Linked DNA regions of Rhinolophus ferrumequinum. The protein of the gene in region 1 interacts with the protein of each later gene in a pairwise test. Links are inferred from orthologs where the notes say so. Each region holds a gene or a part of one and is shown in the gene's direction. Other genes may lie near its edges. The genes, in order: ENKD1, MID2, PNMA2 and PDLIM7.

Region 1 (7,808 bases):
CAGCGCCCTCTCCTGGAGGAAGACAGCATCACCTCCCAGGACCTGATTCCCAAATCTCAGGATCTTCCTTGGGTCAAAGTAAAGTTTTTCCAAGCCAGAGAAAATGTGGTTAACTTTTCCTCTGTGGTATGGCAACCAGAAGAGAACTTCCAAAATACCTGTTGCTTATTTTGGAAACCCCTTTCCAAATCGAGACCTCGTATCCAGACAATAGCAGTAGTCTCCTCACCTCCCTGTCCCCAGTCTCTCCCTTTCTCACACTGTCCTGCACACTGCTGCCCAAGCGACATCTCCAAAATGTCAGGCCAAGAGCCCTCCTTACCTACACCCCTCCCTCATCACTCCCAGATTCACCCAACCTGGTCTCCTGGTGGCCTGCTTCCGCCATGCTAAGTGGCCCTCCTGCATGGAGCTGCCATCTTCCACACTAGCAAGGCTTCGTGCCTGGCATATCCTCTGCCTGGAAGGCCACCCAGCTCTCCTTCAGGAGTCAGCTAGAGGCCTGCCTCTTCACTGCTTCCCTAGACATAGTGACAAGTCACCTCCGCCACCTGTGGTTCCACAGTCTTGCTCCTCAGGTCTTCCATGGCACATGTCTCTGCACCATGCTGCTTCGGCATTTTTCCCTTAGAGTGAGCGTCTAGGAGCAGTAGTGGTGACTTGTTCCTTTGTGTCGGGAAATGTAGCCTCGTTCTTCTATAGTTACTGAGTGTGTCCTTTGTCACCTGTGGAAGGTAAGGACAGAGCTTCCTTATCAGTGCTGGCCTGGTCCACACCTCTAGCCCTGGAGACCACACAGAGAAAGCAGATGCTCAGCCTTTTTGGGTCAGGTCTTCACCAGAGCCCCCAGATCCACAGATCTGCAGGGCTCAGGAAGGGGCGGGGCCTCCCTGGCGCCCAGGGTGTGGTCTCATACAAGGCCACTTCTCTCCAGGCCTTTGCTTCCTCAGCCATAAAAAGAGGAGGTCAAGCTCAGTAATCTTGAAGGACCCTCTATCTCTGAAAAATCCCTGAGAATCCATGCTCATCCCTGTGGACAATATTCAGTCTGCATGGTCTCTGTGGACAGTATTTCCTGGGGTGGTCAAATCACTAACCAGGGAAAAGTGTCAACAGGAAGAAGAAATATGTCCAGAACGCACAGCTTGCCCTGTGGCCTTGCCAAGGGGCTGGTGAGCATCCAAGCGACCCCTAAAGGAGGGAGCATCCCGTGCTGATGCCCGTTTTCTCTCTTCCAATGACCTTGCCAGGCCATTATTCCAGGTCCCACACATGGCTCTGGACGTTGGATGGCCTCCGCTTTTCAGATCCTGACCTATCCCTCTGTAGCTTCCTCAGGTCCCCACCTGGTCTCCTTATCTTTTTATGCTTTTTATGGGGGTCCTCTGCTAGTGGATGTGATGCAATGACACGGGCCCTTGGGGAGTTCAGTCTCATCCTGAAGACAGCTGTGACCCACAAGGACAGTAGTATGTGGCTACTTTAATGCAGGGCAACACTGGGAGTTGCCCAGCTCCGCAGGAAGCAAGGTGCCCTGAATCTTCACGGGTGCATGTGCACTAGCCAAGTGGAGGGGTGAGGGAATAAAGGCATTTTAGACAGGGAAGCCCCATGTGCAGAGACTGAAGGTAAGAAAAGGTGTGGCTGGTCAGGGAATGATAGGAAACCACTGAAAAGTTACAAGCAGCTGGGCTTAGATGAGAGTACTAGACGGGGAGCAACACCATCCGGGGTTTGGATGTGTGTGTCGTAGGTTCACCAGCCTTGATGATTGATTAGCTTGTAGGAGTCAACAAGCAAAGAACAGGATGGGGTCTGGGGTGACACCAGGATTTTGGCTTGAATGATTGCGCAGATGAGATACAGGAGGAAAAGCAGGTTGAGAGGAGGAGGAATTATTCGTTTAATTTGAAATTCTGTTTTTAAGGTGTCTGAGGGACATGCAGTAGGACGAGGAGACAGCAGGGTATTAGGGTTTCCAAATGGCCGGCACTGGCCACCTCTTCCAGAGACCCCTGAGGATGAGAAGCAGCAGTTATCTGGTGGCTTGGCCTCAGGGCTCCAGGGAGACCATTCACCACCACCACCACTCTCTGCCTGCCAGGAAATAGGCACCAGGGGCCACTCTGGGGGCAAAGTGTGGTCCAGCTGTGATCTAACAATAAGTGGAAAGCATCCCAAAGCTTCCACTCTTGGGCAGGCGAATGGACTCTGCCACCTCAGAGGGGAGAATCCCAAGTGTTGGTGCCCTGAAGGTCAGACCGAATGCAGACCCCTTCCCAGGAGACAGCAAGGCCATGCACCTGCTTCCCATGACCTGCCAGTTCCTTTCCTTTCTTTGCCCCAAGTTCCTCATCACCTCCCTCTCCATCCCCACCATTATCCTGTCCGAACTTCAGGTTCATCGGAGACTTGAAATGCACAGAACAAGTCCCTACCCCCACAGATTGATTCAGTTAGGTCTGAGGCAGTACCCAGGAATCTACATTTTTGTCGAGTTCCTAGGCAATCCAAATGACCCGTCAAGTTTCAAACCCTGCACTGGGGAATCCTCCACCCTCCTTCCCAGCCTCTCCCTCTTCAGGCACCTTATTTGGGGAGTCAAAGTCTGAGAAAAGGAAAAACATTTATTTTCAGCAAGTCCAAGGTGCCAAGTAGGGGCAGGGGCTATATTCCCCCCTCCTCCCGAGGGCTTGAGCCCATAGGCTGCTGCTCTGGTTCAGGCTTGGGAGGAAGGGAGCCACCAGGGGGTAGGACAGTCATTTGTACTGAGGAGAAAGTGGGGGTACAAGTGGGGCTGCACAGACACTTAGCATCTTGTCGATGTCCACCTGAGTTGACTTATCCACCTCAGCCTTGGGGCTGCTGCTAACCCCCAAGCTGGGCAAACCCCCAGGCTCCTCTCCAGCCTCCTCCCCCAGGGGAACCATAGCATGGATAGGGGGCACGGACATAGTGGGGCAGGGCACAGTGAGGCCTGAGCCAAGCTCACCTGCCACAGGCAGCAAGGCTGGCAGTTGCTCCACACCTGCCTCCTCGGGGACCAGGGTCAGCTCCCACTCAGGTTCCACCTCGGCTTCAGCCTCCCTGTCCCCCTCCCCTGCCTGGTTCAGCTCAGGATTGCAATAGTTGATGTACTGGTACAGAGGCCGTAGGCGCTGGACCTTTCCTGCAAGGATCCAGGGCAGAACGGGGGCTGGAGTACCAAGCTGTGCCATGTCAGGAGTCCAGCAGGCAGGGGAAAAAAGGAAGGCCCAGGGACTGCTACTCACGCTCTAGCCCCAAGGTCTCTGAGGGTGCAGATACTATGCTGGCCACAGCTGGGAGCACTGGGGCCCCCGGACTCTTGCGCTTCTTGGCTTTTTTGTGCTGTTTGGCAGTCGGTGAGGGCTCACTCCGACCACCCTCCGGGTCCTCCCTCTGTTGTGGCGGCCCCTGTGGCAGCTCAGCTTCAGCCCTAGGATGGGCTTGGTGGCTAGGCCCTGGGAGGCTGGGGGACAGGAGGCTTGAGGAGGCCGCCTCCATTCCAGCCTTGGCTCCTGAGTCCTGAGCCTGCGGAATAGCCCTGCCTCCCCACACCCTGGGCCCAGATTCGTGTTCCTTTCCTGGTCAGTGAGGCCCCAGCCTGGACCAGAGCTGAGAGCTCATGTGAGCTCAGACCCTGCAAGGCCTTGAGACTCTGAATGCTCCCTACACCAGGACTCTTGAGGGACAGAAGGAGTGAGGAGTGATGGTGGTGGCAGAGAATAAAGATGCACACACTGCAGGACTGCAGGATTTAGGAATCCTACCGGGGTGTGAGCCTCCCAACCCCCCTCAGCCCTGCAGCTTCTTCCCTCTGAAAGACCCCTCACTTGACTGGCTTCCTCTTCAGACCATGACTGGACCTCACAATGGAGGCCGTAGGCCTGGGGCTTCTCTCCTCTAGTGCCTCCACCTCTGGCTTGAGCCTCTCTTCCTCCAGCTTGAATGGTTCCTCCTGGAGCTCTGGCTCTGAGACTGGTCCTGTTGGACATTTGTCTTCACCGAGGGTCCCACTGGCCTCATGGACTGGCGCCAAGCACTGGTTTCCCATCACTGGACACTAGAGGTGACACACAGGTAACTGGTCACCATGGCCAGTCAAATGATACAGGGATCAGTCATTAAACACCCAACATTAGACACCAAACGTGAATAAAGGGCACCAGCCCATGGCCCTGCCCGCCTATGGAGCCTGTCCTGGCCGTTAGGGGGTCGACGCACAGAGTTTGGCCTCCTAGAGCGCCACGACCAAGAGTTTGAAGGCTAGACAACCTGTAGGTCACCTCAGAGCTCTGAGCACCGCCACCGGGCGCCTCCGCAAGCTGTACGGGCCCCTCAGTCGTCCCCTTTTGGGCCCCTGGGCGCCTCTCGGCCCCTGCCGAGGCCATAGCTGCGCAGAGTCAGCGCATCCTCGACGGCTGCTGATGGGAAGAGGTGGACGGGCCCCGAGGGGCCGGACAGGTTCACCCTTCGCTGACGCGGGAGACCGACCGGGAGGCGAGAGCCGGGGTGGGAAGGGCGACTGGAGACTACTCTAGCCCCTACCCTCAGCTGGAACTACAAACCCCAGGAACCTTTGCGTCGGGGTATTAGCCCCTGACCTCAGACGGAAACCATTGTTGCCTGGCAACAGCAAACTCGTCGGGTGGCAGCTGCGGGCAGTCTAAAGCTGTTCTGGTGAGCCCCCAGCCCGGGTGTTGAGAGGGAGGGGCCACGACCGGGGCAGGGAAGTGGGCTAGGAGCGGAGGCGGCTAGTTGCAGGCCGGGGACCGGGAATGGAGGCAACGCCGGGGTCAAGGTCCGGGTCCAGAGAGGAGGTCGGGGGCCCGAGATGTTTAGCCCGGCAGGCCTCGGTGCAACATTGCAGGGCGACGGCGGCGGCATGTGCGAGGGCCTGTCCCGCATCTCGGGGCCCATCCCCCCAGACCCTACGCTTTGTCCTGACTACTACCGACGGCCGGCCTCGGGTGAGTAGAGGGTGCCGCGGCTGAGCGAGGCCCGAGCGAACCTCGGATCTCTCTCCACCACTGAACGCGGCACTCTGATTTGTCCGGCCCCTCAGCCCAAGGGCGCCTTGAGGGAAACACGCCGAAGCTGGACCTGCTGACCTCGGACGCGGACCTGGACGTCACCCCGCCCCGCGGCCCCCGCATCCGTCCTGGAGCTGTAGAGATTCTGGAGCGTGGTCGGCGCGGCGTGGGGGCCATGCTGCTGCAACTTGGGGGTATCTCCCTAGGCCCAGAGGCCTCTCCCAAGAGTAAGTTCTGGGCAGAAGGGGCAGCAAGGCAAGTCGAGGTTAAAAAGAGATCAAAAGCTGCTCCTCCGGCCCTGACCACGGCTCAGGCTTTGCCTTTCTGAATGTGTTTCCCCAACTATAAAGGGAGGGGAAAATGCACTACCTCCTTACAGGAGAGGACTGAATGAGGTAGTCCCCAGGAAACCGTAGATCAGCTTTATGAATTCATTCATCAGTGAAACTTGTTGAGCGCTTGCTCTGTGCCAGGCCCAACAGGTGCTAGGAAAACAATAAGGTTTAAGACAAGCACAGGCCATCACGGAGTCCAGGTGGGAGACAATGAACAAGTGAAGGGATGATTATATATAAGATGATTAATGGTGTACCTCACAATAAAAATGTATAAAATAATCAAGGATAGAAGATAATTACCACGTCAGGAAGGAAACAAGGTGGTAAGATGGAGTATCTGTATAGGATCTAACTTAGATGGAGAAGTCAGGGAGATCTTTCTGTAGGAGGCAAGGTGTGGGCCTGTGTGTGAACTTGTATAAGTTGGGTTTCATGGGCTGTATGCAGGGCGAGTCTGGCAACATCTTTTCCCCAGGGAAGGAACCTAAAGACCATGAGAAGGAGAATCTGAGACGTATCAAGGAAATCCAGAAGCGCTTCCGCGAGCAGGAGCGCAGCCGGGAACAGGGCCAGTCCAGGCCCCTGAAGGCTCTGTGGCGCTCGCCCAAGTATGACAAAGTGGAATCCCGGGTCAAGGCCCAGCTGCAGGTACCTGCCTCAGGGAGCCAGAAGTATTGTCCATCTTGTTGGCCAAGAGGCAGTTATACCCTGATCTGAGTTATGGGGAGGGAGGAAAATCACAGGGGACTAAGGTAACAGGAGACTTAAGAGAGAACTGGTTCTGCAGCAAGGTGGCTCTGGGGATCCTCAGAAGTGGTGATGGCTGGGTGAGCCTGAGGGGCAAGTAGGAATTAGGCAAGGGGAGAATGGAAAAGAACATTCCGTAAAGATGAAACCTCACAGATAGAAGTCCTAAGACTAGAGGCAGTGTGGGCAGTGGGGGTGCTGTGTACAGTTTACTGTGAGGAGAGAAGAGCACAGAGTTAGGCTAAGAAGTCAGCTGGACCCACGTCATAAAGGGCCACATAACCCCCTTTTCAACTTTTTTTTTCGAAGGTCAGGGGCAGGGGTATGGTGGTGAGATTCTGTCTTGGGTAGATAGTGGCACCATTTCTCCATACAGAGGTCTCAGAAGGAGGAACAGGATTGAGAGTAAAGAATAAGGTCATATGTGGATGTGTTGAAGCTGAAGCATTTGTGGGACTCCCAGGGGGTGCGAGTGTGTCCAAGAACCAGATGGAGAGTCAGGTCTGGATCTCAGGAGTGAGAATCAGGAGTTATTGAGGATCAGACTAAGGATGATGAGACCAGGGAACTGACCCGGATTTGAGGGCTTGGAGGCCAGCTGTTAATGACCTTGGGGACAGAGCCAAGAAGCTTGACTAGGAAGGAGAGAAAAAGAGAATGGTAGCTGGAGCCAGGATTAAGGTAGGATGGACGGTTTGTTGTTTTCTTAAGGATGTGAGAGGTACACATGTTTATATGATAATCATGATGAGTGCTCCTTCAAAAAGGAGGAGGCCATAGCCCTAGGGATAGAGGCTCGGTCTTGAGACCTTGACCGCAGCCTGACTGATCCCTCTTCTATGCTCTGCCCTCCAGGAGCCCAGCCCTGCCTCTGGAACAGAGCCTGCCCACTTCCTGCGGGCGCACTCCCGCTGCGGCCCTGGGCTCCCACCACCCCGTGTCCCCAGTCCCCAGCTAACCCCACTAGGTCCCAATGCCAAGGTGAGAGAATGTGTGGGGGCTGGAAGGTGGGGCGGGGGTTCAGGGACACAACACAGTGCTGTCTGTCCACATGCTGCCATGTCCTGCAGGGGCAAGGCCTGGGTGTGGACTTCATTAGCCACAATGCCCGCACTGCCAAGAGGGCCCCCCGGCGGCATTCCCGCTCGCTGCAAGTCCTGACACAGGTGCTGGAGCAGCAACAGCAAGCCCAGGAGCACTACAATGCCACACAGAAGGGCCACGTGCCCCACTAGTAGGTCCCACTGCCGAACACCCAGGGTGAGGGGTGCCTGTGGCAGGTGGGAGCCAACATCTGCCCTGGAATCATCAACCCTGAGCCTGTGCATCCACAGCTTGTTGGAGCGCCGGGATCTGTGGCGGCAGGAGGCTGAGGCCCGCAAACATAGCCAGCCAGACCCTACCATGCCCCCTGGCCACACTCGCATGCCTGAGAACCAGCGGCTGGAAACACTGAGCAATCTGCTGCAGAGTGAGTATTTGAGCTGGATGGGGAACTCACTGGGGACCAGGTACCCCTGCCCAACACTAACCACCTGGGCCCACTGTAGGCCAGAGCCAGCTGCTGCGTGAGCTGGTACTGCTGCCCGCTGGAGCAGACTCACTGAGGGCGCAGGGCCACCGTGCTGAGCTGGACCGGAAGCTGGTGCAGGTGGAGGAGGCCATCAAG
Region 2 (8,176 bases), on another chromosome or scaffold:
AACCGTGAGGAGAGATGGGAAGTGTAGAAAACAAGAATTCTTCTTTGGTCACATTAAGTTAGTGCTGTCTGTAAGGCATCTGGGTAGAGATATAAAATATGTGGCTACGCAAGTTGACTCAGGAAAGAGGTTTGAGCTGGAGAGATAAAATGGGGATTGTACTTAAAACCATGGGACTGGAGGAGGTCACCTAGGGAGTGGGTATAGATGGAGAAGAGAAGCAAGGACTGAGCCTGGGGCACCCCAACCTTGGGAGACAGAAGAGCAGGAGGAGGAAACAGCAGAGCCTGAGGAACAGGAAGTGAGATGGGAGAAAAACCAGGAGGATGTGGCATCACAGAAGCCAGACTCCAAGTGACTTGGGGTGCTGGTTACGAAGGCATGGCCAGCAGGTAGGTTTAGGCTTGGATCTGAAGACTAATTAAGACTCCAGGAAAATATTTACCAATGTAATATAGATACCAAACGTATGTGTTTATTGTAACAAACACAACAATTCAGATAAATTACAAAATTAATTTAAAATTACCAAAATATGGATCAGAGAAGAATAAAAAATACCCGGAATATGCCATTTCTCCATACTGGGTACATTTATTTTGAACCACTGTCTCTTAAGCAGCCGACATGGCCTGTTCACAACTAGTTTTAGAACAATGTCCTATTGATAAGCCCATGCCAAAAGTACTTCTCACCATCCTGTTAAGCCCCCTGGTTAGAAAAGCCTTCAGGTCAACTTCTGGACTTCACACAACTAGCTGCTTCTTTTGAGAACAGTATGAAGGTTCCCTTCTGCAGAAGGAACAATTCTCTTGTGCAACAAAATCTCCGTTCTGTGATTTTTTATTTCTGAAACAGACTGGGCTCTGTGCTTCTCTCTGTAGAAAGTATCTGGAGCCATTCCCCCTCTCCCTCCCCGCCTTCTTAGCTGGAAAAAAGAGCCCATGAGCTGTCCCTTTCATGCTCTAGGACTGTAGTGTGGTAAATCTGCCTCAGATTAATTCAATTAAACACCTCAAGCTGAATCTGTCAAACGTCTTTTTTCCCCCACGGGACTGATTTATTTTGTTAATAGGATCAACACATGTTATATAAAAAGGTAACCATTAAATAATTATAAACAAATAATTTCATCACATGCTCCCAGCCAATTTTGCATCGCCTGCCAGATACAAAACATTTATTTTCATACATTACAGCGACAATGCATAAAACCACTGGAAGTGGGGATATTTTCAAAGCAGCTGCTTATGTGATGTGATTATCAAAATCTCCCCAACCCCCATCCCAACCCACACACTATTAGTCAGTCGTTCCTTTCAGTTAATACATCGAAAATCTCTGTTAAAATTAAAACATTATCTACTAATAGAGAGACAAATGAAGCTATTCATATTAAGCTCAAATTACTAATCCTTAATCAGTAAGGTCCTTTATAAAAGGGACCCAGAAGCTATTAAGTTTTGAGACGGGAAAGGAAAGGTCCAGAATATGGGCTGCTGCCTGGGGAGGGAAGGGGGTGGCACACGGGCTCTCTGTATAATGCTCCGGTCAGCCAGGGACTCGCTTGAAAGCACTGGCAGCTCAGGTGGAGGGGACACCGCTAAAAAGTGAAGGGCAGGGTGGTTTCTAAAGGACAAGACAGGGCATTAAAAGCAAATCTCCCCTAAGTGCTAGTTCTGCCAAGAGCTGGTTGGCTTGGCTTGGGTGTGTCCGCGATGAAAGTGGTCACTTCTTCACATGTTAGAAAACTCTCCAGCTATCTGTGGGGATCATATCAAGTGAGGTTAAAGAATTCTAAGGGATCGATTGACTCAACTTAGTTTTTTTTTTTAACCTTTTTTAAACTACAAAAGAAATTCTCATGGTAGAATATTCAGTTATAAAATATATAGAATCAAACCTGAAAGATCTCCCTCAACACCCACCACAATTCCAGGCTCACACTATTTACAGTGTGCCCCAAGTTCTTTTCTATGCATTCATGGAGATATATATATATATATATATATATATATATATATATATATATAATGTCTTACACAAATACAATAGTATCTATCTGTTCGTACACTTCCTCGTTCTTTTATTTTTTTTTTAAATTTACTTTATCGTGGGAAAAATATACATACAGTAGTCCCCGTTTATCCACGGGGGATTATGTTCCAAGACCTCCAGTGGGTGCCTGAAGGTATGGATTGTACTGAACTCTACATATACTGTTTTTTTCTATACATACATATCTACGATAAAGTTTAATTTACAGATTAAGCCCAGTAATAGTTTAACAACAAAAATTACTAATAAAATAGAATAATTATAATAATACTGTAATGAAAGTTATATAAATGTGGTCTATCTCTCTCAAAATATCTTGTACGGTACTCACCCTTCTTTTTGTAATGATGTGAGATGATACAACGCCTACATGCTGAGATGACGTGAGGTGGAATTTTCCGTTTAATAATTCCAGACCATAGTTGACCATGGGTAGCTGAAACCATGGAGAGCTAAACTTTGGACAAAGGGGGAGGGTACTATAACATAAAGTTTACCGTTTTAACCATATTTGAGTGTGCAATTCAGTAGCATTAAGCACATTCACAACGTTGTGTAGCCATCCCTACCCTCTAATTCCAGAACGTTTTCATCATTCCAAATAGAAACTCTGTACCCATGAAACAATAACTCCCTATTCTCCCCTTCCTTCAATCCCTGGTAACCTCTATTCTACTTTCAGTCTCTATGCTATTTCTTCTTTTAAAATTGTTTTTGAAAAGGTAATACATAGACATTATAAAAAATTCTAACAATAGGAAAGGGTATATCAATGTTAAATACTCTTCCTTCCTATGCTTGATCCACAGTGTAATCAGTTTTTTAGGTATTTTTACTGAAGAGTCTACCTATATAGAAGCATATGTGGACATATACCCTCCCCATTTTTTTACAAAGTAGTAGCAAACCATACACAGCTTGCTTTTTTCATTTGACAATATCTGATATATATATATATATATATATATATATATATATATATATATATATATATATAATGCCTATATATAATTCTTATTTATCCACTCATCTGTTATACTAGGATCGGTTTACTTCTGACCCATTAATTTTTTCAAAATTAATTAATTTTTTATCGTAGAAAAAAACCCACATAATGTAAAATTCACCCTCCCAACAATTTCAAAGTGTACAGTACAATATTGTCAACCACATGCACATTGTTGTGCAACAGATTGCCCAGAAACCCCTGCCACCCCATCCTGCATGACTGAAACTCTACACCCACAGAAACACAACTCCCACCTCTCCTCCCCACCAGCCCCTGGAAACCACCATTCTACTTTCTGTTTCTATGAGTTTGACTACTTTAGATACCTCCTGTAAGTGGGATCATGCAGTGTTTGTCCTTCTGTGACTGGCTTATTTCATTTAGCATATTATCCTCAAGAGTCATCCATGTCATAGCATAATGGCAGGATCTCCTTTTTTAAGGCTGAACGTATATGCCACATTCTACTGTATGCATACATGACATTTTCTTTATCCATTCATCTGCCAATGGACATTTAGGTTGCTTCCACCTCTTGGCTATTGTGAAAAATGTTGCAATGAACATGGGAGTGCAAATATCTTTTTGAGAGTCTACTTTCAATTCTTTGAATATATTTCCAGAATTGAGATTGCTGAATCATATGGTAGTTCTGTTTTTAACTTTTTGAGGAACCTCTGTACTCCTGAGGTTTTTTTCCATATTGGTTGCACTGTTCCCACCAACAGTGTACAAGGGTTCCAATTTTTCCACATCCTTGCCAACACTTATTATTGTAATGGCCATTCTGACCGGTGTGAGGTGATATCTCATTGTGGTTTTGATTTGCATTTCCCTGATGATTGGTGATGTTGAGCATCCTTTAATATGCTTGTTGGCCATTTGTACGTCTTCTTTGGAGAAATGTCTATTCAAGTCCTTTGCCCATGTTTTAATCTGGCTATTTATTGTTTTGTTATTGGGTTGTAGGAGTTATTGATATATTCTGGATATTAACCTCTTATCAGATATATGGTTTGCAAATATTTTCATTCTTGCCTTTTTGTTCTGTTGATTCTATTGCTGTGCAGAAAATTTTAAGTTTGATGTAGTTGCCACCTGTCTATTTTTGCTAACCTTGCCTGTTCTTTTGGTATGACTGAACTCATTAACTTTTACTTCTCCTAGAGCCAGACTTTCATCAGGATAGTCTGGTTGTGACTTTTGCCTTCATTTCCATCTCGGTGCTCGCTAGTACATTGTTGAATGGGGTGATGCCTAATTACTATTGGTTCCCTGATGGGATACACCCAGAGCTACCATAATTTTTCTGAACTTATTCCCATGCACAGTAATTGGAGGCTTCTGTGAGACGGGGCTGTTTCCTCCCATTTTCTAGCTTCTTTCCCCTTCATCTCCCTTTTTACCCCATGTTAGGAGCAGAATCTCCTCCGGGCCTCCTCCTTCTCCCCTCTGGTGTCCTTGTGAGTGGGTCAGTGGTCTCTGAGCCAATGACAGGTCAGCTGCCAGGCTGACTCCAGACCAATGAAGTTTCTGGGCTCCCGATGAACCAATTAGCTTATTAGGGACATTGAATACCTGGATAGCTGGCATCTGTCCCATTGTTCTCTTAGTAGGGAACCTCTTGTTTTGTCCATCAAAGATTTGAGCGTGCAAATGAAACCTTTTTTTTTTTTTTAATTTTGGTGGCTTTATTCCATCCCCACAACTTCTGCCCAAGGCCAATAAAACACAGCCATTCTCCTTTCGTAAAAAGAAAGAGGGGTTGGGTTTCCTTCAATTGTCTGCCTTTTTCTGTCTCCTCCACTATTTTTGTTTTACTCTGTAGTTAACTTTGCATAGAGCAGCTTCATCCGGGGACCTGTGCGGTGGGCCTGGGCACTCTCTCATTGCCAGTTGCAAGGGTCTTTTCCGTGTTCCAACCTGGGGGTTTGTGGGACCAGGGGCTTGGCGGGTGGCAGAAGAGTTGCCTTCTGTATTTCACACACATTCTGCGCTCTCTCTCCCTCTCTCTCTTTCTCTCTCTCTCTCTCTCTCTCTCTCTCTCTCTCTCTCTCTCTCTCTCTCGCGCGCGCGCGCGCGCGCGCGCGCGCACACACACGACCGCTCAGCACCTCTCCGTGTGTCTTCCTTCAAGATGACAGGGCGCTGGAGAAAAGGCTGCTGGAATCAGCTGGTAGGTACAGTAGTAACCCGAACCCCACCCACCCGCTGCCTTTGCTTGGTCAGGTTTCTCCCGTCACTCCTGCCTGGGGAGAAAACATGTAAACGCGCCTCCAGAGGAGGGGCTGGGGTAGCTGGGAGCGGCGGGGGAGGCTGAAGGTGAGGCCGGGAAGGTGGCCGAGAGCCCCCGCTGCCGGGCCCTTGTCCGTGCTCCCTCTGGGCGTCAGCCCCAACCCTGTTGGCCCCCACCCCACCCCCTTTTCGAAGGGATTGCTTTTTTTTTCCCTCTGCGGCGGCGGAAATGACAGTGTGGAGCTGCCGTGGTGTCATGGTGCTGCCCCTGGACTGAGGGGGCGAATCTAAAACTCTTAAGTTTGGAGCGTCGCGACCGCCGTGCTGTCCCTTGCGGGGCGCGCGGGCGGGCGGATCCCGGCTGCTGCGCGGCGGCAGCAGCGAAGGCGAAGGCGGGCGGCGGCCTAGAGCGGCGGCAGCGGCAGCTCGGGGAGCTCGCGCCAGCGTCGGAGCCGGAGCCAGCTCGCGGCGGAGGGAGGCGAGCGCCCTGCGCCCTGGGGCGCGCTGAGGAGATGGCCGGCGCCCGGGAACGCTCTGGGTAAAACGCGCCCCCTCGCCGCGGCCCCCGGGGGCCGAGCACCCCGCCGGCGCAGGGCTCGGCCCCGGCTCCAGCCGCCTCTCAGGTGCGGCTGGGACCAGCGCGGGCCGAGGACTCCGGGGCTCTGCGGGGCAGGGTGACGGGCCCCGAGAGGCTCGAGGCGGCGGCGGGGGCCCCGTCCTGGCCCTGACTCCACGTTGCGCCGTGGAGCCCCGGGTTCCCGTCGCTGCTGCCCTCCTGGGACGGAGTTTTCACTCCGGGTTGCGGGCGGGGGCGGCCCGAGGCCTCTCTCACAGCCGGGCCGGGCCCAGCGCGGCCAGTGGAGCGGCTCCTTCCCACGAGCGCCTTCCCACGCTCCCGCGGCCGGCAGCCTCCTCGGCCCTGTTGGCGCCCCTTGGCCGGCCGTCTGCCCGGCGGTAGCTGGTGTCGCAGCCCGATATGCTGCGGACACCCTGCCGGCGGGGAGGCCCGGCGAAACTTAATCCCCTTTCTGCCAGGGGAGCGACCCTTGAGTCTCCGTCTGGGTGGTTCCTTATTTCTGGCCTAGCTCTGAAAGCAGCTCAGGAGGGAGAGGGGAAACTTACATAGGTCCATTGGATAGACTGCGACTGAATCACGGAGAGGTGGGTTTTTTCCATTCCTGGCTTGTCAGAATTAAGTAAATAACGGTGGAGTAGATTTTCAGAAACACTTTTGGTGATGATAAGGTTTAGGTTACTTAGCACTTCATGCGCAGCACATTATTTCTGGGAGACATTTCTCAGAGCAGGAAATTGGGATCCTGGGGTCGGTGGTTCTTCACTTTCTCTCTTCTACACTCTCCTACAGCCTTCACACTCACGCACCTTCCTACAACATCATACACCTACCTGCCCACCCAAATCTCCCCCCCCCACCCCGCCATCCCACAGGCCCTTTCCCCCATCAACCTGTGTACTCCCAGCCGCCCAGCAATGCAGCTTCTTGCTTCTCAACCAGTTTCCCTATTTCAGGATTTCTGAGTGTGGGGTCGGTGGGTAGTGATGGTTGTGTGTCTCCGAGGAGGAGCCCTTATAAAAGAATATATTGGAGACTATGTAAATAGACAAGTACTGTGTGTGGGTTGATTCCTCCGATTCTCAGGTTGGGCCATGAGGGCTACCTTTAACCCCACTCTGTTCCTTCTCAGTATCAGTTCTCTGGCCATGTTCCAATAGAAGGGAAAGGGTGAAGAGAGGAGAGTTCCTCCCCTACTCCTTGCTCTACCCCGAACCATTACATCCCCCCTTTCACCCCTCTCCACTCATGACTGCCTGAGGGGGAAACAGTCTTTGCTGTTTTATATATTCCTGTCCAATCAATTAACTTAATGCAGATATATAATGTGAATTAGATTTTTCCTGATTGTTCCTCACAACTTGATTTATGTGGTTGAAATAGAGGTCTAGGAGCTAAGAAGATCAGAGAGTTGTCCCAAATCTGATGTTACATTGGCCTGAGGACATTCCTATGACCTTTCTTTCATAGTTGATGCATTTGTGTAAAAGGCATAATATAGTGTACTGGGGTTTTGTGAGTCGTGACTTGGTCCTTTGAAGATAATAGGGTTCTGTAAACCCTCAGCACTACACATTTCAAAGAAAGTGCTTCATTTACCTTTTTATTGGGACAATAGATTGACTAGGTATAAGTAGGAACCCTAGTTTACTGGAAATCTTAACTTGCCATTATTAGCCCCCCTGTAGCCAAATCTATCACTGTACTTAGGTCCTTAGCCTTTTTATTTTATCTAATGCACATACAACTGAATGAAACATACGTAAAACTAAGCATACAGACTAATGGTGATTATTTTAAGTCGAGGCTTAAATCATACCTAGTGTACTCCAACCTAACAATCTGAGTCAGATGCATTTGAAAAGGTAATCTCACCCATTTTTAGCCTTTATGGGGGGCAGTTAGCTAATTTCTACTGAAAAGTGGCATAAATAATTTTAGGCATGGCTCTATAAGCATGATTAGTATCTAGCAGCGGTGAGTCAACAATATTTATTAAGCACCTATAATGTTCAGAGGCCTCTGCTGACTGGGCTGAGGCCCCAGCCCTGGCCTAGCAGTTGGCACCCTGCTTGTTTGAGGCCTACCTCCTTACTTGCAGTTCCAGGATTAGGACAGGGAGGGGCTGTGTGGAGCAGGGGTAGAGGCGAGGCATATGAAGGGGCGATTGTTTCTCTTACTGATTTTCATGACTACTAGACTTCTCATCTAGCATGTTGTACCTTGCATGGCCACCCCCAGAACTCCTGCCACAAATCAGAATGACTTGGTTGCTTCATGAATGTATCATCTGAACAGTG
Region 3 (8,170 bases), on another chromosome or scaffold:
ATGGGGAGTTATTGTATAATGTGCACAGAGTTTCAGTTTTGCAAAACAGAAAAGCTCTGGAGATGGGTTGCAAAACAATCTGAGTATATTTCACACACTGAACTGTACACTTTAAAATAGTTAAAATGTTAAATTTTATGTTATGTGTATTTTACCACAATTAGATGGGGTTTTTTTTTTTAATTTAACTAATTATATGATTAGTTAAAAAATCATCTAGGAAATCAAGAACAACCAACAATTATGGATTATTACCATTTCCTTCTCCTACCCAAGCCCCTCTCTCCTTTTGAACCCAGATGGGTCTTAGGTATATTGGAATCCTGAACCATAAATGTTCATATTTGTGTCTCCTCTTTCGAAACAATGTGGCCTCTAAAGTATCAAATTAATGCCCTTGTTCTAGGCTCCCAGCCAAATCTCTACCACACATCCTGCTAACTAGGCATTCATTTTGTTGAACAGGCTAATCTATTATCAAACACATATCTCTGGGGACAACTTGTGTATCAGTCATTCACGGAAGCGATGGATGCCTTGAATCATTGGGATTTCTCTCTAGCTAAGATTAACACAAGGAAGGGATTTTGAATGAGAGAAGGGAGGGCAAAAGGGAAGAGAGTGATTTCAGAACTCGTTGCTTTTGGAGGAAGAAAGCTCTAGAAGGGGCATCGCCATCACAAAGGGGCAAGGGTAGCATTAAACATTAAGAGGGCAGCAGAGTCCCTGGGCACCCAGGGCTGAGAGCTCATCAACATGGGGAGAAAGAATGGAGACATAGAATGGAAAGGCATATCAGAAAGTGTTTTACAGACTTGGTGGTTTTGTCAAGTTCAGCAGCACTCTCATGTAGTTCCCTGACTGGCACCTGCCCCCAGAGAAATGGACAATCAGTCCCCTACTACCCTACTCTATGTAGGCTGTTTGCTGCAGGGAAAAGGGCCTGGGAGCCCCATTGGAAGGGATGCTCATGATCCAGTTTCCCTGGTGGGACAGCTGGTTCTGGCTAACATGTGTCTGAGGTAGAATGGAGGGAATTCTTAGGTGGAAGGGAGGAGGCTGAGGGACCCCTGGGCACTAGCAGGAAAGAATACAGCCAACAGTAGTGTCCTTCTGCTCTCTATTGCAAGAGGCTCAGAGTCCCTAACAGGTGGTCACCAATTTAACTGCACTGCAGCCCAAGATGGACTTCCCCCAAGGAGACAAAGGGAAAAGAGAGTAATGTGATAGAAACTTTCCTCATTTGCACTCATGACACTGGCTCTTCCTTTCACCAAAACCTAACATCCCAGCCCAAGCCACACCGAGTGCTTTCTGGTGCTGACTTGTTGACATTTGCATGCTGGGATACATGCAACTCAACATCCCCTAGTCGCCCATAAGCCATGTGGCATCCAGGCTCTGGAGGCGTGTTCCCTCCCTTCCCACCACCTTACTAGAGGAACAGCAGAACTCCTAGGGTGGCAGGTGGGCAAAGCCCCTCTGCATGCATTAATAACACCTATAAACACAGATTTAGGGAAGGAGGAAAGATGTGAGATCCACTCACTCTAGTGTATCCCCCCACCTCTCTATGTGCCAGGGCTTCAGATAAAAACATACTAAGATATTGGCTGTCACCCTACTCATTAGCTGAAAACTACCGTGTTTCCCCGAAAATAAGACCTAGCTGGATCATAAACTCTAATCCATCTTTTGAAGCAAAAATTAATATAGGACCCAGTCTTATTTTTCCGTAATATATTTTACTATATAATATTGTATATATTATTATATAATATTTTACTATAAGACTAGGTCTAATCTAACATAATATAATATAAGACCGGGTCTTATATTGATTTTTGCTCCAAAGGAAGCATTAGAGCTGATTGCCCAGCTAGGTCTTATTTTCGGGGAAACACGGTAAGTAATGGCTACCTGATTCAGTCAAAATGGTGGGCCCAACTGTACTTTTGGAAATCACCATTGTTACACACACACACACACACACACACACACACACACAAATGGCTTTTGTGTCTTGAATAGTCATGAAATATTCAAACACTGTTAAGTACTGATCCTGGTAAATACTCTTAGTCATGAATGAAACAAATCCCAAAGGAACAGCCCTTACATGATAAGGCAAGATTGAAAATGAAAATTCAGGGAAGGCAGCAGAAAGACCAAGCCAGAATCACCCTCTGCAACTAATAACCAGGCAACTGAAGCAACTTTGGGTTTCCAGAGGCTAAAACTGCCTAGGGTTTGGTTTCCTCTTCAAATCTCCCTCTCCATGTGCTCTAGGTTTATCGTTCCTATTAAATTTAGAAAGTGTTCAAACAAGTAACTCTGATGATCAAATATTGGAACTTCTAAATGCATAGAAAAAGAGACGTGTTATTCAACCCAGTGAAACTTTGCCTTTCAAATCTGAGTTTTAATTCACTGCCATCATTATCAAGAAGACCACTGTCAACCAGCACCCCTTGAGCGGCCATTTTTAAAAATGATCTCTTCCTTATCGTGAGGCATTTCTCTGCGCCCTTTAGGACATTAGAATTACCAGCACAACTTGTTTAAGAGGAGGACACTCACACAAACGTGTGAGTGGCACTAGAGGTTCTGCTGTTCCTGCTATAATGATCATGGTTTGGCCCTCACCTAGTGTATTCACGTAGGAAAGCATTTCACACTCACCCAGCTTTCGTTTTAAGTTACATTACTAGAAGCTTTTACTTCAGCTGTCTGATCACTTGGTACAAAGTAAGTTTTCTGGATTAAGTTCTTCTGGTTGACTGATAGTGAAACGCGGATATCCGGTGACCCCTCCCCCATATGAATAAATCAGAGCACAGGGCTGGGAGAGAAGGAATTAAGTAATTAGTTGCCCCCTTTTGAAAATGACAGCAGATGGTTTACCTTTCCTAGAATTGGTCCAACAAAAGTGAAAAGCTGCAAAATTCTATGCCACATCAGGAAAGAGCAACATGTTTGTGCCATGAGCACCAACTCTTCGTTGTTCTCTGATGTGTTCATTAAAAGCACATTGTCTGAAGCCCCGGCAAATAAATGCTTGTGGAATCACTCAGTGACTATGTATAGGCCACTCCCAACTACTCTGAAAGCCCCGTAAGAAGAAATCACCTTGAACTTTTTCTATATAGCTAACTTCCCCCTGCCCCACAAGGCAAGGCACACAATAAGTATTCAATAAATAATCAATCATTGACTGATTTCTCATTTTCACCAATGGGCCTGGGAAAGAAACAGCAAACAAATGTTGAAACAGTTCACACTGTAATTTATCAGTTGAGGAATTAAGGCTCTGGGGGGGCTAGAGGGAATGCACAAGTATGAAGGTCACCCTGATAAAGAAAAAAAAAAAAAACAACTGTGGTGTGAGAAGACGACTGCTCTTAAAATGCACGCTGTTCTTATTCGCCAGAGATGACGAACATTTTCTAAAATCAAGGTTTACCAAATTGGTCCTCTTTGTTTCCCCATTAACACTGTATGGAGGGTGCCAATCCATCTTTGACACTGGATCCAAAATGTGAAGGTTTTTTTCCCCTTTTCTTTTCACTCTTTGAACATAATCCACTTGGTCCCTATCCCCAAAGCGCCTCCCACATAGGGCGGGTTGGGGGGAGCACGCTGGGAAGCCCTTGCTTTAATACTTAGCGGAACTTTGTTCTCCACATGGGCTATTTAGGAGCGTCTGGGTTTCTTCGGGGGACTCCACCGCCTGCCTGGTTCTTCTCACGCAGCACACTGGAGTCAGGGTGATGAGATTCTCCAGGGCGGTCCGGGAGGCGCTGACCATGGTCCTGGCCTCCAGCTCAGGACGCGAGCGCGGAAGGCAAGGAAGGAGATGCTGTAGGAGAGCGCGCGCAGGGCGCGGCGGGGAGCAGCCGTCGAAGCCCCCGCCCCTCCTGACCCCCAGGGAGCCCGCCGGCCTTCATGCAACCCTCCACTGCATGCCCAGAGCTGCATCCAAAAAAGGGTGGGGCACCCAGACACAGTTGCCATCGGAAGGCGCCCGGGAGGATTTAAGAAGAATGGAACCGCGGCCCATCCCCATCCCCCACCTTGCGACCCCCAAGCAGAGGATCGGCCGAACCTTTACCATCACCACCCATCAGGCCCAGGAAAGCGCGGGCAGCCTTTGTGGGCGCACGGCTGCCACAGTCAAGCCCGCGCCTCTCCATACCTTTCGCGGAGAAGGGGCGGGTTGGGTGGGGTGCGTGTACATATGCGGGGAGGGGCAGGACGGTGGGCACGCTGGGATGCTCGGTTCTCCACCGAGCTGTGAGGGGGGCGACGGAGGGGCGATCTCTGCGCCGGGTCCTCCTTCTCAAACACCCCCACCACCCAATACCAACCTGGTCGTAGATGTTCTGCAGGGCTTCCTTGCCCGAGGCCCGCCGGATCTCCACCTTCCGGCCGGATTCAACAGATGGCTCCCCACCCGCGCGCCGGCCCTGCCGGGAGTACGGTGGCTGCGGGTCGGGACCCAAGTGGGCGACGTCCCGTTGCTGAGCCACCACCTGCCCCGAGCCCCGGCCCACCGACAGTGAGTCGAAGTCGATGGTCTTGTTCTCCGAGGACCCTTCTACCGGGCAAAACATGCCACAGAATTTCTGCCGGGGCTTGGGGCTGCCTGAACCCAGGTTTTTAAAAAAGGCAGGGACCTCTTCGTCCTCTGCCGCCTTCCCGGATTGCTTCCTCTCGGCCATGGCGCGGGGGGCTCGGGGAGGGTCCTCTGCGTCCGCCCGTCCGTCTACGATCCCTAAGTCTGCCTCTCTGTGCACAACCCTCTGCAGCGGCTGCCGCTCTCTGCCTACCGCAAGGTGCACAGAAAGGAAGGAGGGCTGGTGAGCGGGCGACCCTCCCTCCCGGTCCCTCCCCCTGACCCCTCTTTTTCCCCTCCCTGCCCACGCCCCCCGCCGCCACGCGAGCTCCGGCGAGCTGCAAAGTTGGGTCTGGGAGGGCGGCCGCTGCGGCAGCGGGAGTGACAGGCTGCCTGCGGGTTCCCGGCAGCTGCAGGCGGAGGGAGGTGCAGGCGGGGCGCGGCGGGGGCGGGGCGAGGCGCTGGGAGCTCCGGCCCGAGCTGAGCGCAAGGGAGGGGGGGAGGGTTGCACCGCCCAGAGCCCCGCGCTCCGGAAGTGAAGCTGCCAGACCACCGGCTAATGGATGGGGAGCGGAGGGCCCGCTAACAGCTCTCGGCTCCAGGGTGAGTATGGGATAGGCACGCTGGGCGAAGACCCGAGGGCGCAGCCAGCCCCTGGCCCTCGCGCCCTTCTACCTACGCGACCCAGGCGCCTCTCCCCCACCGCATTGCGGAGGTAAACCGGGGGCTAGGGCCCTTTATGGGGAGGGCTCCCTCCTCTTACCTCGGGCATGAGCTGATGGATGAGGAAAGGGAAACAAACTGGCTGGCGACAAGACACCGGGGGAGAAGGGAAGAGGCCGCAGTGAGGATGGGGAGGGAATGGCGCAGGCCGTGCGGAGAGGTGGGGGCCATGTCCCGATGCGCGGGACACCAAAGCTTCAGTCTACCTACGGGCTTTGGAGGGCTGTTGGGGGCAGAGAGTGAAACGAGAAGGTTCTCGCTCAGTGCATCCACAGTTGTGGAGGGCGCACAGCACGGCAGGGAGAAATGCAGAGGCGGAGCAAATGGTGGTGGATGTGGGGTATAAAGAGACATAGGTCTGCGTGCTGGCGAGTGTAGCCAAGAATACAGTGCAAATTCCGGCCCAGCACAACTAATACATAGAGAGGGTGCCTGAGGGCGCCACGTACCGTAATTGCGCCACTGCGCCACGAAGGGCCCAGGAGAATGTTCTGATTTGGTATCTTATGCCCCCACCCTCCAAAGGGAGGGAAAGGCACAGATTACAATCCACTCCCCAAATCTCCAGCCCTTACTTGTCTGCCTCCCCTGTACCCCCGCCCCTGTTGCGCACTGCGCCAGAGCCGCGTGCGGGGGCGGTGGGGTGGGGGCATATGTGCCCGCGCAAGTCCAGTGTGAGGTAAGAGATGGGGCTGTGACTGAATGCTTTGAATTGTATGAGGCCAAGCAGGGTAACGGTGTGCGGAGACGTGGTTGTGTATGTGCGGGTAGACCAGGCGCAGCTACCTGGTTGGTGGATATCCAGAGAGCGTTTTGATATGTGCCAACAACACCGTCACTGAGCGCGCTTCATTGCTCACTCCCATCCCCACGTACTTTCCTTGTATCAGTCTTTGCCCCTGGTCGATTACAGCCCCGCCCCTTTTACTACGGTGGCAATATCCTGCAAAGACGATGCCCATCCTTTGGTGGTTCTAGAGGGAAGTCTGGGCATGCTCAGTAACGAGGGTGGGTTTGGGCTAAAAGAGGCTGTTTGCCGCCCCGGAAAGTGTGACCAAGGATTCTGTCCCATTGTCAGCTCTTGCCCTTATTAGGATTCGATGTGGATACTCTCCCTCAACCCAAATGTGAGGGATAGTTTGGTGAATGGAGTTAAATTTGGAGGACCACCAGTCACAGTTTGAGGAAGAGCCCACCATGATAGGTGGGAAGGAGTCTCCTGATGAGAAGGGGAGAAGGAGGAAGGAGAACGATACACGTGTAGGGAGCTGAGAGACCCACAGGTGGACATTCAGACTCAGCACCAGATGTGCTTCTAATTTGAATAAAGTGCTTCCATACGAATTACATCATTTCCTACTTACGGCAGCCTGTGAGAGGAGTGCTTTTCCATCACTACTTTCCAGGGTAGGAAACAGATTTAGAGAGATTCAGACGCCTTGCCTAAGGTTACTAATTAAATGATCCAACAATCCCAGTGGGGGTCTTCCACCTGAAAGTATGGTCCCTTTTCCAAATTATCCTTATGTTAGAAAATACAAAATTTTTTACATTTTTTCCATATCCAAATATTTCCTTCCGTGGACTTACTGTGTATCAAAATTGGTGGTTCAATTGCCATCTTTTTATTTGACAGTTACCTTGCAGGTAGGGACTGCATTTGGAGGAAGAAGCCATGGTAGTTGTTCCATAGACCTTGGAAATGTTTCTTCCTGCACATTTGATGCCTTTTTACATCTCATGTTTCCTCTAAAACTACAACGTGAGAGGAAGGTCACCCCCACATTGAAAGGGAAAGGGAGGCATGGAGAAGTCACTGGGCTCAGATCCATGAGGCTGCTGGGCCAGGGCATTATCCATCATTTTGCCCTTCTGGACCTCGGGCACACTCCATGCCGCCAGCACCTTCCAGAAGGACTGAGGAAATGTGCCTGTAGCAGGAATAGCTGCCACGATGGCTACAGGTTGGCATCTGTGGCATATGGACCTCACTCGGCTTGATGGAGAGTTTCAGGCCTAAGGAAGAATGATCATGGCCGCTTAACACACGCGGTACAACAGAACTGGGAGACTTTAGGAACGCTTCCCTTTTTACATTACATTACCCACTCTCCACTGGCTCTCTGTAGATATGCTCTCTCTTTTCCTTTTTTCCTCAAATGATCCATTCAAGTTCAAATGCTACAACAATACTGTCTTATTAGTAACTTAACATTCATAGCAAAAGAAACACCTATTTGTGCATTTGCCTAGCCTGACCAGACATAACAAAAGAGCATGATTCATAATCCAAGTTTAACTTATTTGGCCCTGAGATTTTCAAAAATTATTAAATGTATATTAAATTCTTATACCTATATTATTATATTATATTAAAGTATATTATATAAGTTGTATTGTTATACTGACATTAATTGGTTTTAAGTATTCGAGTGATTTCTAATTGGACTTTTTTCATCAAAGAACTGAAGCAACTATATTGTTTAGTAGATTGAATTGTGAAGGATAGTCATATTTTTTAATAAACTCGCTGACAGTCTTCATCATTGGATATTATCAAACTATAAAAATACACCATTATTATTTATGTGCAACAGGGCAGCTTGACTTGGCCAGAGCTAAGAAGGATGCAGACACGCCATTGTATGGAGTTGGGTGACATCTTCATATAGTAGAAGCTGAATAAATCAGATCATCGACTCTCATGGAACATTGGAACACATAAACAGGTATCCAGCCACATCTCCTCATATCATTCTTCCCGTGGGAAAGATCTTGAATCCTGGCCATAAGTGGGCTCAGACATTAATTGGTGTGTCTGATGAGTATATT
Region 4 (7,218 bases), on another chromosome or scaffold:
AAGCATGGAGAAAACCAGAGTACCTGGGAAAACCAGAGTAGCTGCTTTTTCCCTCCCCAAGACCTTCACCTTCTCTCCACCCCTGCCCATTCCCACCTTGCAGATATCCAAACAAAGAGTGGCCCACAGAAGTGAAGCGCCTCCACCTCCTCCCACCTACAAGTGCACCTGCACTGTCTTCCCGACCTATGTTGGAAGAAGTGTCTGTTCCCAAGACGTCCGTGCTCTGACCCCAGCTCTTCTCCCCTCCTCACAGCTCGGCAAACTGACTTGTCTCCTCTCTCCTCGACCCGTTAATTCCATCCTCCTCATTTCCAGCCTCACCAACATGCTCTATAATTTCACATCTTTAAAAGAAACCTTCCCTTGACCTCAAATTCTCCTTCAGCACCTCCCCACTTCTCTGTTCCTCTTCACAGAGAAAGTCCTCAAAAGAGTTGTTGATTACTCTCATTTCCACTTTCCTCCATTCTTCCTTCCGACTCGTCTCCCCGTGGTGCCCACTACACCATTACATTGCTCTTATCAGGGTCACCAACCTCCTTGTTCCCCAAAACAAAAGCCGCTGGACTCCCTTTGGGACCAGGACTCGCCCCACGTCTCAGCAGCACTTGACACTCCTCCTTCACTCGTTTCCCTCCTCCCCTGCTCCAGCTCTGCCTAGGGCTCTGGCCTCCGACACAGTGTGACTCAGCCCTGGCTGCACGGAATCACCTGGGAGCCTTTAAAAGATGCCCACGCCTGGGCCCACACCCAGGGGCTAGGGCTTCAGTCCAGCCATTTCTTCAATTCCCCAGGTGATTGCAGAGTGCAGCCAGGCTTCAGAACAACAGCCCTAAGTGAGCCAATCCTGTCTCCATGTCTCCCAGACGTGGCGTACCTTCAGTGCAAACCTCTCCAATGAGCTCTGGATTTAAGTGTGCAGCTGTTCAAGATTCTGGGTGTCTAAGATTCATCTCCAAATGTCATGTGAAGGGAGGCTGGGGGAAAGGGGCTGCGTGCAGTGTGGCCACAGATGGCAAAGCCTGAAAGGATGTTTCAGCCACGGGGAGGCAGATTTTGGCTCCACTTATGGACCTTCCTTGTGATGGTAACGTCTTCTCATGAGCCATCTGGCTGCCTGCCGTAGAGCAAGCTGAGACAAGGAGGCTCCAGTCAAGTGTCTGCTGCAGGGACCCCTCCACCCCATGGTGGCAATCCAGCCCTTGCCAGCTCAGCAAATCCCAGTTCACACTGTAGGTTACCGAGAGTGTCAGGGACATAGCCAGAAAGGACCCAGGACTCTGAGTACCCAATCTGGTGTGCTTCCCTTTATTACAAATCGAAGCCTCTTTGTTTCATGGCAGTGGCTGTGAGCTTCCCACCACACTGGAAGCAAAAGTCTTTGGAAACAGATTTCTGGGATTTTAGGGTCGTTGCCCTGCCGCTGCAAGTGTCCTGGCCACGAGGGGGCAGTGTGTCCTAGCCCAGTGCCTTTCCCTACCCAGGGGCTGCCTATGCAGGGAGATCTGGTGGCCTTCCAGGTCTGAGTCTTGCACAGTCCCAAGGAACCAGATCCTGGGGTCCTCTCTGCTGGAGGACTGCCAGGACCCCCCGGCTGACCCTTCTTCCTTCGCTCAATTTCTGTTTCACCCTCTCATTTTTTTCCTTCACAGCAGGGACACTGTGTGCAGGCACTGGGGAAAATATGGACAAAACAGACAGCCCCTGATCTCATGGGACTGACATTCTAATGGGGACAAAGGGCAATGAAGAAACAAACACTTAATATAATGTCAGATGGTAGTAAGTGCCCTGGGGAAAAATAAAGCAGGATAGGGACTAGTGCATGATGTAGGTGAGGTGTCAGGGGGCTGCTGTTTTAGATAATATGAATCAGGGAAGGCTCCTCAGAGGCAACATCTCAGCAGACACCTGAACAAAGTGAGCGAACCTGTTGTTTAGATAACTGGGGGAAAATGTCTCAGGCAGAAGGAGCCGCAAGTGCAAAGGCCCTGAGGCAGGAATATGCTTGACGTGTTGGAGGAGCAGTGAGGAGGCCAGAGGGACTGGAGTAGAGTGACTGAGGAGGAGACAGGTGGGAGGTGGAACCAGTTTATTAGTGCCATGTACATCTTAAGGACTTTAATTTTATGTGCAACATGAGCCCACCAGAATGCTAAAAGCCAAAGGTGATGTGCTACAATTTTTGCTTTAAAAATATCATTTTGGCTGCTGCAAGGAGAAGATTCTGGAGTGGGTCAGGATAGAAGCAAGGAGATGTGTTAGAAGACTGTTAAGGGGTCTAGGCACGAGATGGGTGGCAGCACCGATGGTGGCAGTAGTGACCAGATGTGGAACATATTCTGAAGGAGGAATTTGCAGAATTTGGAGTATGACAGAGAAAGGAAGGAAGGATAACTTCATAGTTTTTACTGGACCAGGTGGATGAACAGTGGTGCCATTTACTGAAGTGAGGAAGGAGCTAGGGAAGTGGGAAAATCACAAGTTTAAATTGGGACATAATGATTTGCGATATCTAGTAGACATCAAGTAGAGAGGTTGGACAGGTGGTTGGCTATTAGAGCCTGGCGATCTTGCGGGGAGGTCAGGGCTACACACATAACTTGGTAGTCCTTGGCATATGGGTGGTATTGAAAGCCACAGGACAGGAGGAGGTCTCAGAGAGGAAGTGTAGAGCGGAAAGATCTGATGGCCAGGCTGGGGGACAGATGACGACCTTCCAAGGAGGTGGAGAAGCAGCAGCAATGGAGGAGGAGGGATGAGGCTGGGGAAAGTTGGAGTGCGCCTGGACCAGTGCTGTTCCTAGGTAGAGTCACAGGAAAGCTGAAGAAGCACCACTGATTTGATAACTCAGAAGTCTTTGGAGACCTTGAGAAGAGGGAATTAGTTCAGAGAATTGAAGTGGGGAGGACAAGAGCCCGACTGGAGTGGGTTCAAGAGAGAACAGGAGGAGAGCAAGTCGAGACAGCATGACAGAATTCCTTCGAGGAATTTCACTCTCAAGGGGAGTAAAATAAAAGAGCCATAGCTGGAGAAGGACGTGCGGTCAAGAGAGGATTTCTTTAAACACGAGACTCGTACAGCAGTTTGTGTAGTGAGGGGAATGATGTACAAGAGGGGGGAAATGAGATGATGGCGGAAGGGGGCGAACTGCAGTGCCCATGTCCTAGAAGGAGCTGAGTTCACTCACCCGCACACTCCCGGTCTCTGCTCAATTTCCTCCTCTCCGCCTACGCTGCTGCCCAGGTTGAGCAGGGACGGAGGAGCAAAGTGGGGACTCTGACACCCCCACTGGAGGCGCTGCCCGCTTTGGAACGGAGTACCAGGACACATCCCACCTCGACAGTGTGGGGCCAACCCTGAGCCGTGCTAACCGACCAGGGTCAGAGGGCAGGGTCACAGGGCAGGCTCAGGGCCCAGCCAAGGGGCCCCTCCTCTTACTTCCACCCACTCCTACCATTGCTTTCTGCTTTCAGTGCTGTGCAAACATAGCTTCAAATTTCCCTGTTCCCCCTTCAACTGACACCAACTCGATGTGTGCCCCCCACCAATTCCCTCAGCCGCCGATGGCTGAGCCTTACGCCAAACAATGCTTGTCTTCACGGCGGCCCTGTGAAACGAGCATTATCGTCCCATTTTTCCGAGGAGGAAATTAAGTTTCAGAGACGACTGTTTCCAAAGGCGGCTTTCTTTTCAGTCGACCAATAGGAGGCGCAAGGGGCTGAGCGAGCGGCGTCGCGAAGCCCAGGCCCCGCCCAGACCGCAATCCAGGCCCCGCCCAGACTCCATCCAGACCCCGCCCAGACCCCGCTCCGGCGAGGGGACCCTGGCGGGCTGTGTTTTCCAGCTCAAAGCGAGATGGGACTTCGTGATTGGGCGGGGCGGAAGGATTGGGTGGAGCTTCCCACCGCCGGAGAGGCCAGTAGGGGGCGTGACTTCGATGGGGCGTGGCCTCGGGTACCGCCCCCTTCCGCGGTCTCAAAGCGGACGGCGGACGCGGGGGCGGGGTCAGAACACCTCGGCCAGTCCCAACGCGGTTCCTTTGAGCCCGCTGCCGAGCAGCGCCCCGGAGGGGCAGAGCAGGTACCGGTGACCGCGCGGGAGTTTTGGGCTGGGCCAGGGAGGGGGCTGCTAGGGAGCACAGAGGACTTTAGGGGTCGTGGCCAGCACTGAGCTTCCTCCCGCGGGCGCGGGCCCCTGCCTTCGACCCCGCCTCCGCCTCCGCCTTCCTGCGGCGAAGCCGGCTGCGGCGGGGCCGATTGGCGCCTGCCCTGCTTCCTGCCCCCGGGACTTGTCCAATATTGTGGGGCCCAGGCAGGGGAACCAGGGGGAAACTGAGTCACGTCTGGATGTAGCAGGCCTGTGTGGGAGGCACCACTTCCACTGAGCCCCAGGATGAATCTCCTTCCTGGCCATGCTTTGGGGTCCCAACCCCCACCGATTTCCGCAAGGGCCGCACCCCTGCCCGCCCCCAACCCCCAGCGCCCAGGGGTCCCGCCCTGGCTCGACTGGTCCCGGAATGGCTAGGACCCGCTCCAGCCCCCTCCCTTTCTCCCCCTCCCCCCGGAGTCCCGAGCCCCCGGGTGCTCCCTCGGCTGGCTCTCTGCACAGTGTCAGCTTACACGCCTTATATAGTCCGAGCAGGCTCCAGCCGCGGCCTGCCTGCTGGGACCTGGGGGCGGGGGAGAGGAGCGCCGGCCCCTGACTCACCCCACCGAACGAAACTCAAGGCTGGCTTGGGGGGAGGCCGTGCCACATTAGCTCTGCCGCCCACTCCTGGATGAAAAGAACCTAAAAGCTAGATGCGGGCTCTGCTCACCCTCAACAGTCCCTGGAGGAGGGGGGTTGTTCCTGTCTTTCCAAAGTGAGACCTGCCAGCCAACAGTCCAGCCAGACCTGACAAGGAGAGGAGCCTGACTACCTGTGCCCTGGGTGTGCTCAGCATCTGCCCTTGCCTGCCTGGCATCAGTCCAAGGCTGGTGTATGGAGCTGCACGTGCTTGTGTACCCACCATACCAGCCACTCACCTTTCTCTCCTCTCAGGAGAAGGCACCATGGATTCCTTCAAGGTGGTGCTCGAGGGGCCAGCACCTTGGGGCTTTCGGCTTCAGGGAGGCAAGGACTTCAATGTGCCCCTCTCCATCTCCCGGGTAAGCCTAGGTTGGGGGAGGGTCTCCCTCAGGAGTCTTTGGGTGCTCCAGTGTGTATGGGGAGTGTGGGAGGGATCTGAGCAGGAGTGAACCAGGGCCAATAGGCCAGGAGGTATCCGGGTCCAGAGGTGTGGGGGGCACCTGCCATGAAGACTCCCAACTGGGTTACTGGAAGAGGAGCCCCCACACTTCCCCAGCACTGCACTGTATCTGATGCCACTCCAGGAAGCTCCTGGGGCCACCTCTGAGGCCCCAGGGGTGCCCTTTCTGCAGGAGGGGAACCTGAGGTCTCTAGGAACTGTCTGAGCAGCTTGAGGGAGCAATACTTGGAGCCAGGCTCCAGGCAGGGCACTCTGACTGCAGGATCTCACTTCAACCTCTTTGCCACCCAGGAAATAGCCATTATTATCGTGGTTTTCCACATGAGAACTCAGGGCTGAGAGATGGAAGGGCTCTTTCTGAGTCCATGGTCAAGCAGGAATTGGCATTAAGGTACTAGGATAGCTGCAGTTTGTGGGTAGGACTCCGGGTGGGTCTTCCAGCCTATGTGAGGACCTCCATCCCCACCCACTGGTCCCTTACTGGATGCAGTGACCTTTGACCCCTAGTGGGTGTGGAATGAGGTGTAGGGCTCTGACCAGCTCCTGAGAGCCTGCCCTGGTGGGGGCGGAGCTGGGGGCTGGCTCCTCCCTGTGGCAGGGGGATTGCCTTATAAGCCAAAGAATGCAGCCCCACACTGGGATGGCTAACTGGTGGCTATAGTCTGCAGAGCCCAAAAAGGCTTGCCTAGGCCTGGACCCCTGAAGCCCATCAGTGGGTGCCTCAGCTGGTGACTACCAGTCCATGGCTCCAGTTGTAAGGCACAGAGAACAAACTGCCTACCTAGGCACAGTGAGGTCAGCCCTTGGGCTGGAGTCTGACTAGTCTGGGGGTTAGGAGGGGGTGGGGACTTCCTGCCCCCACATCCGCCTGTCCAGAGAGGCCCACCCAGGCATCTGGTGGGCAGGCAGCTGTTGGCAGGAAGCCCAGGGCAAGCACAGCCCAGAGGGGGCCAGAAGGTTGTCCAGGCACTGCCCAGCCTTAGAGGTGCCCCAAGGTGGAGTAGGTCTGTGGGAGTTGGGCTTGGTGGCCAGGGCAGGGAGTTGGTTACCGTTTTTCCCAGGGACTTTTCCGAGGGGTTCCCCTGGAAACTGCCCGGTCAGCAGGGTAGTTAAGGGCAGTGGTCCCCCTAACACACACACACACATACACACACCCCTGTACAATCCTCAAGCCTTGCAGCCCTGGAAACCTGTCCTATATCCCCCTCCCTGGGAAACTGCTGGCTAGTGTGGCTGGGGAGCTGTAGGCCTTGGCTGGCATCTGAGCCTCAGTTTCTTCTTTGGACGGGATGGGCAATGTAGTGGTCTGGGGGGTGTACTTTCAGATGTGGCCTTTTGGGGGCACTCTTGGCTCCCTTGTCAGCAGCCCTAGCATGTGGGTGGGACCACTAGCTGAGCCCAGCCCTGGAGTTGGACCTGGGCCCTAGTGGGTGGGTGGGTGGGGTGGTCTTTTATGAGCTGGGGCGGTTCTCTCCCTCTCCCCTGACCCCAGCATGGAGGGAGGGACTAGGGCTGGCTGTGGGCCCAGGCCTGGGAGATGAGGTAACGTCTGGGACTGGGGGGTTGGGCTGCTCAGTGGAGCCCTCAGGCTGACTCACCCCCCACCTCATGCAGTGTCCAGCCCCCTGGCTTTTTCCCCCTCTTTGGTCGCTCTGGCCTCCTTGCTTCTCTCTCCAGTCACCATCCCTTCCTACTATCCTAGTTCTCCTGCTTTTCTCTCCGCCGCTCTGACCACTCCCCTACCCCTCACGTGCTTCCTATCCTCCTCATTCCCACTCTTGGGAAGGAAGTAGTTCCTACTCCCCACCCCCTCTGGGAGCCAGCTGCTCCTGCCCACCCCAGGACCCCCACCTCAGTCTCAGCCCCCACCTCCCAGGAGCCAGCCTGTGGGTAGGGAGTGGCTGAACCAGGTTTGCCTTCTACTGACTCACTATGACCTTGAGTAATTCACTTCCCTTGAAGGG

Evidence for each region.
Region 2: the proteins of ENKD1 (region 1) and MID2 interact in binary tests that used the Homo sapiens proteins (3 or more experiments, as listed by UniProt). The link is inferred for Rhinolophus ferrumequinum from reciprocal best matches to the Homo sapiens genes ENKD1 and MID2.
Region 3: the proteins of ENKD1 (region 1) and PNMA2 interact in binary tests that used the Homo sapiens proteins (3 or more experiments, as listed by UniProt). The two-hybrid records come from large-scale screens. The link is inferred for Rhinolophus ferrumequinum from reciprocal best matches to the Homo sapiens genes ENKD1 and PNMA2.
Region 4: the proteins of ENKD1 (region 1) and PDLIM7 interact in binary tests that used the Homo sapiens proteins (3 or more experiments, as listed by UniProt). The two-hybrid records come from large-scale screens. The link is inferred for Rhinolophus ferrumequinum from reciprocal best matches to the Homo sapiens genes ENKD1 and PDLIM7.

Annotation. Positions count from the first base shown.
Region 1 is NC_046298.1:17,287,548-17,295,355, reverse strand, and holds the start of ENKD1 (enkurin domain-containing protein 1), read left to right. Parts: upstream 1-4,671; 5' UTR 4,672-4,855; coding exon 4,856-4,991; intron 4,992-5,086; coding exon 5,087-5,281; intron 5,282-5,867; coding exon 5,868-6,040; intron 6,041-6,994; coding exon 6,995-7,120; intron 7,121-7,209; coding exon 7,210-7,373; intron 7,374-7,473; coding exon 7,474-7,610; intron 7,611-7,689; coding exon 7,690-7,808. Other genes in the region: C15H16orf86 (uncharacterized protein C16orf86 homolog), read right to left, coding at 2,760-3,169, 3,273-3,505, 3,855-4,084, 4,308-4,412. UniProt on the Homo sapiens protein: Microtubule-binding protein which regulates microtubule organization and stability. Promotes the stability of astral microtubules and facilitates the proper orientation of the mitotic spindle.
Region 2 is NC_046284.1:46,733,887-46,742,062, reverse strand, and holds the start of MID2 (probable E3 ubiquitin-protein ligase MID2), read left to right. Parts: upstream 1-5,135; 5' UTR 5,136-5,243; intron 5,244-5,308; exon of another isoform or gene 5,309-5,925; intron 5,926-6,444; exon of another isoform or gene 6,445-6,463; intron 6,464-8,176. UniProt on the Homo sapiens protein: E3 ubiquitin ligase that plays a role in microtubule stabilization. Mediates the 'Lys-48'-linked polyubiquitination of LRRK2 to drive its localization to microtubules and its proteasomal degradation in neurons.
Region 3 is NC_046301.1:40,887,530-40,895,699, forward strand, and holds the start of PNMA2 (paraneoplastic antigen Ma2), read left to right. Parts: upstream 1-5,082; 5' UTR 5,083-5,218; intron 5,219-5,234; exon of another isoform or gene 5,235-5,330; intron 5,331-7,935; 5' UTR 7,936-8,170. Other genes in the region: DPYSL2 (dihydropyrimidinase-related protein 2), read right to left, coding at 4,368-4,721.
Region 4 is NC_046307.1:5,128,712-5,135,929, forward strand, and holds the start of PDLIM7 (PDZ and LIM domain protein 7), read left to right. Parts: upstream 1-3,966; 5' UTR 3,967-4,086; intron 4,087-5,046; 5' UTR 5,047-5,057; coding exon 5,058-5,153; intron 5,154-7,218. UniProt on the Homo sapiens protein: May function as a scaffold on which the coordinated assembly of proteins can occur. May play a role as an adapter that, via its PDZ domain, localizes LIM-binding proteins to actin filaments of both skeletal muscle and nonmuscle tissues.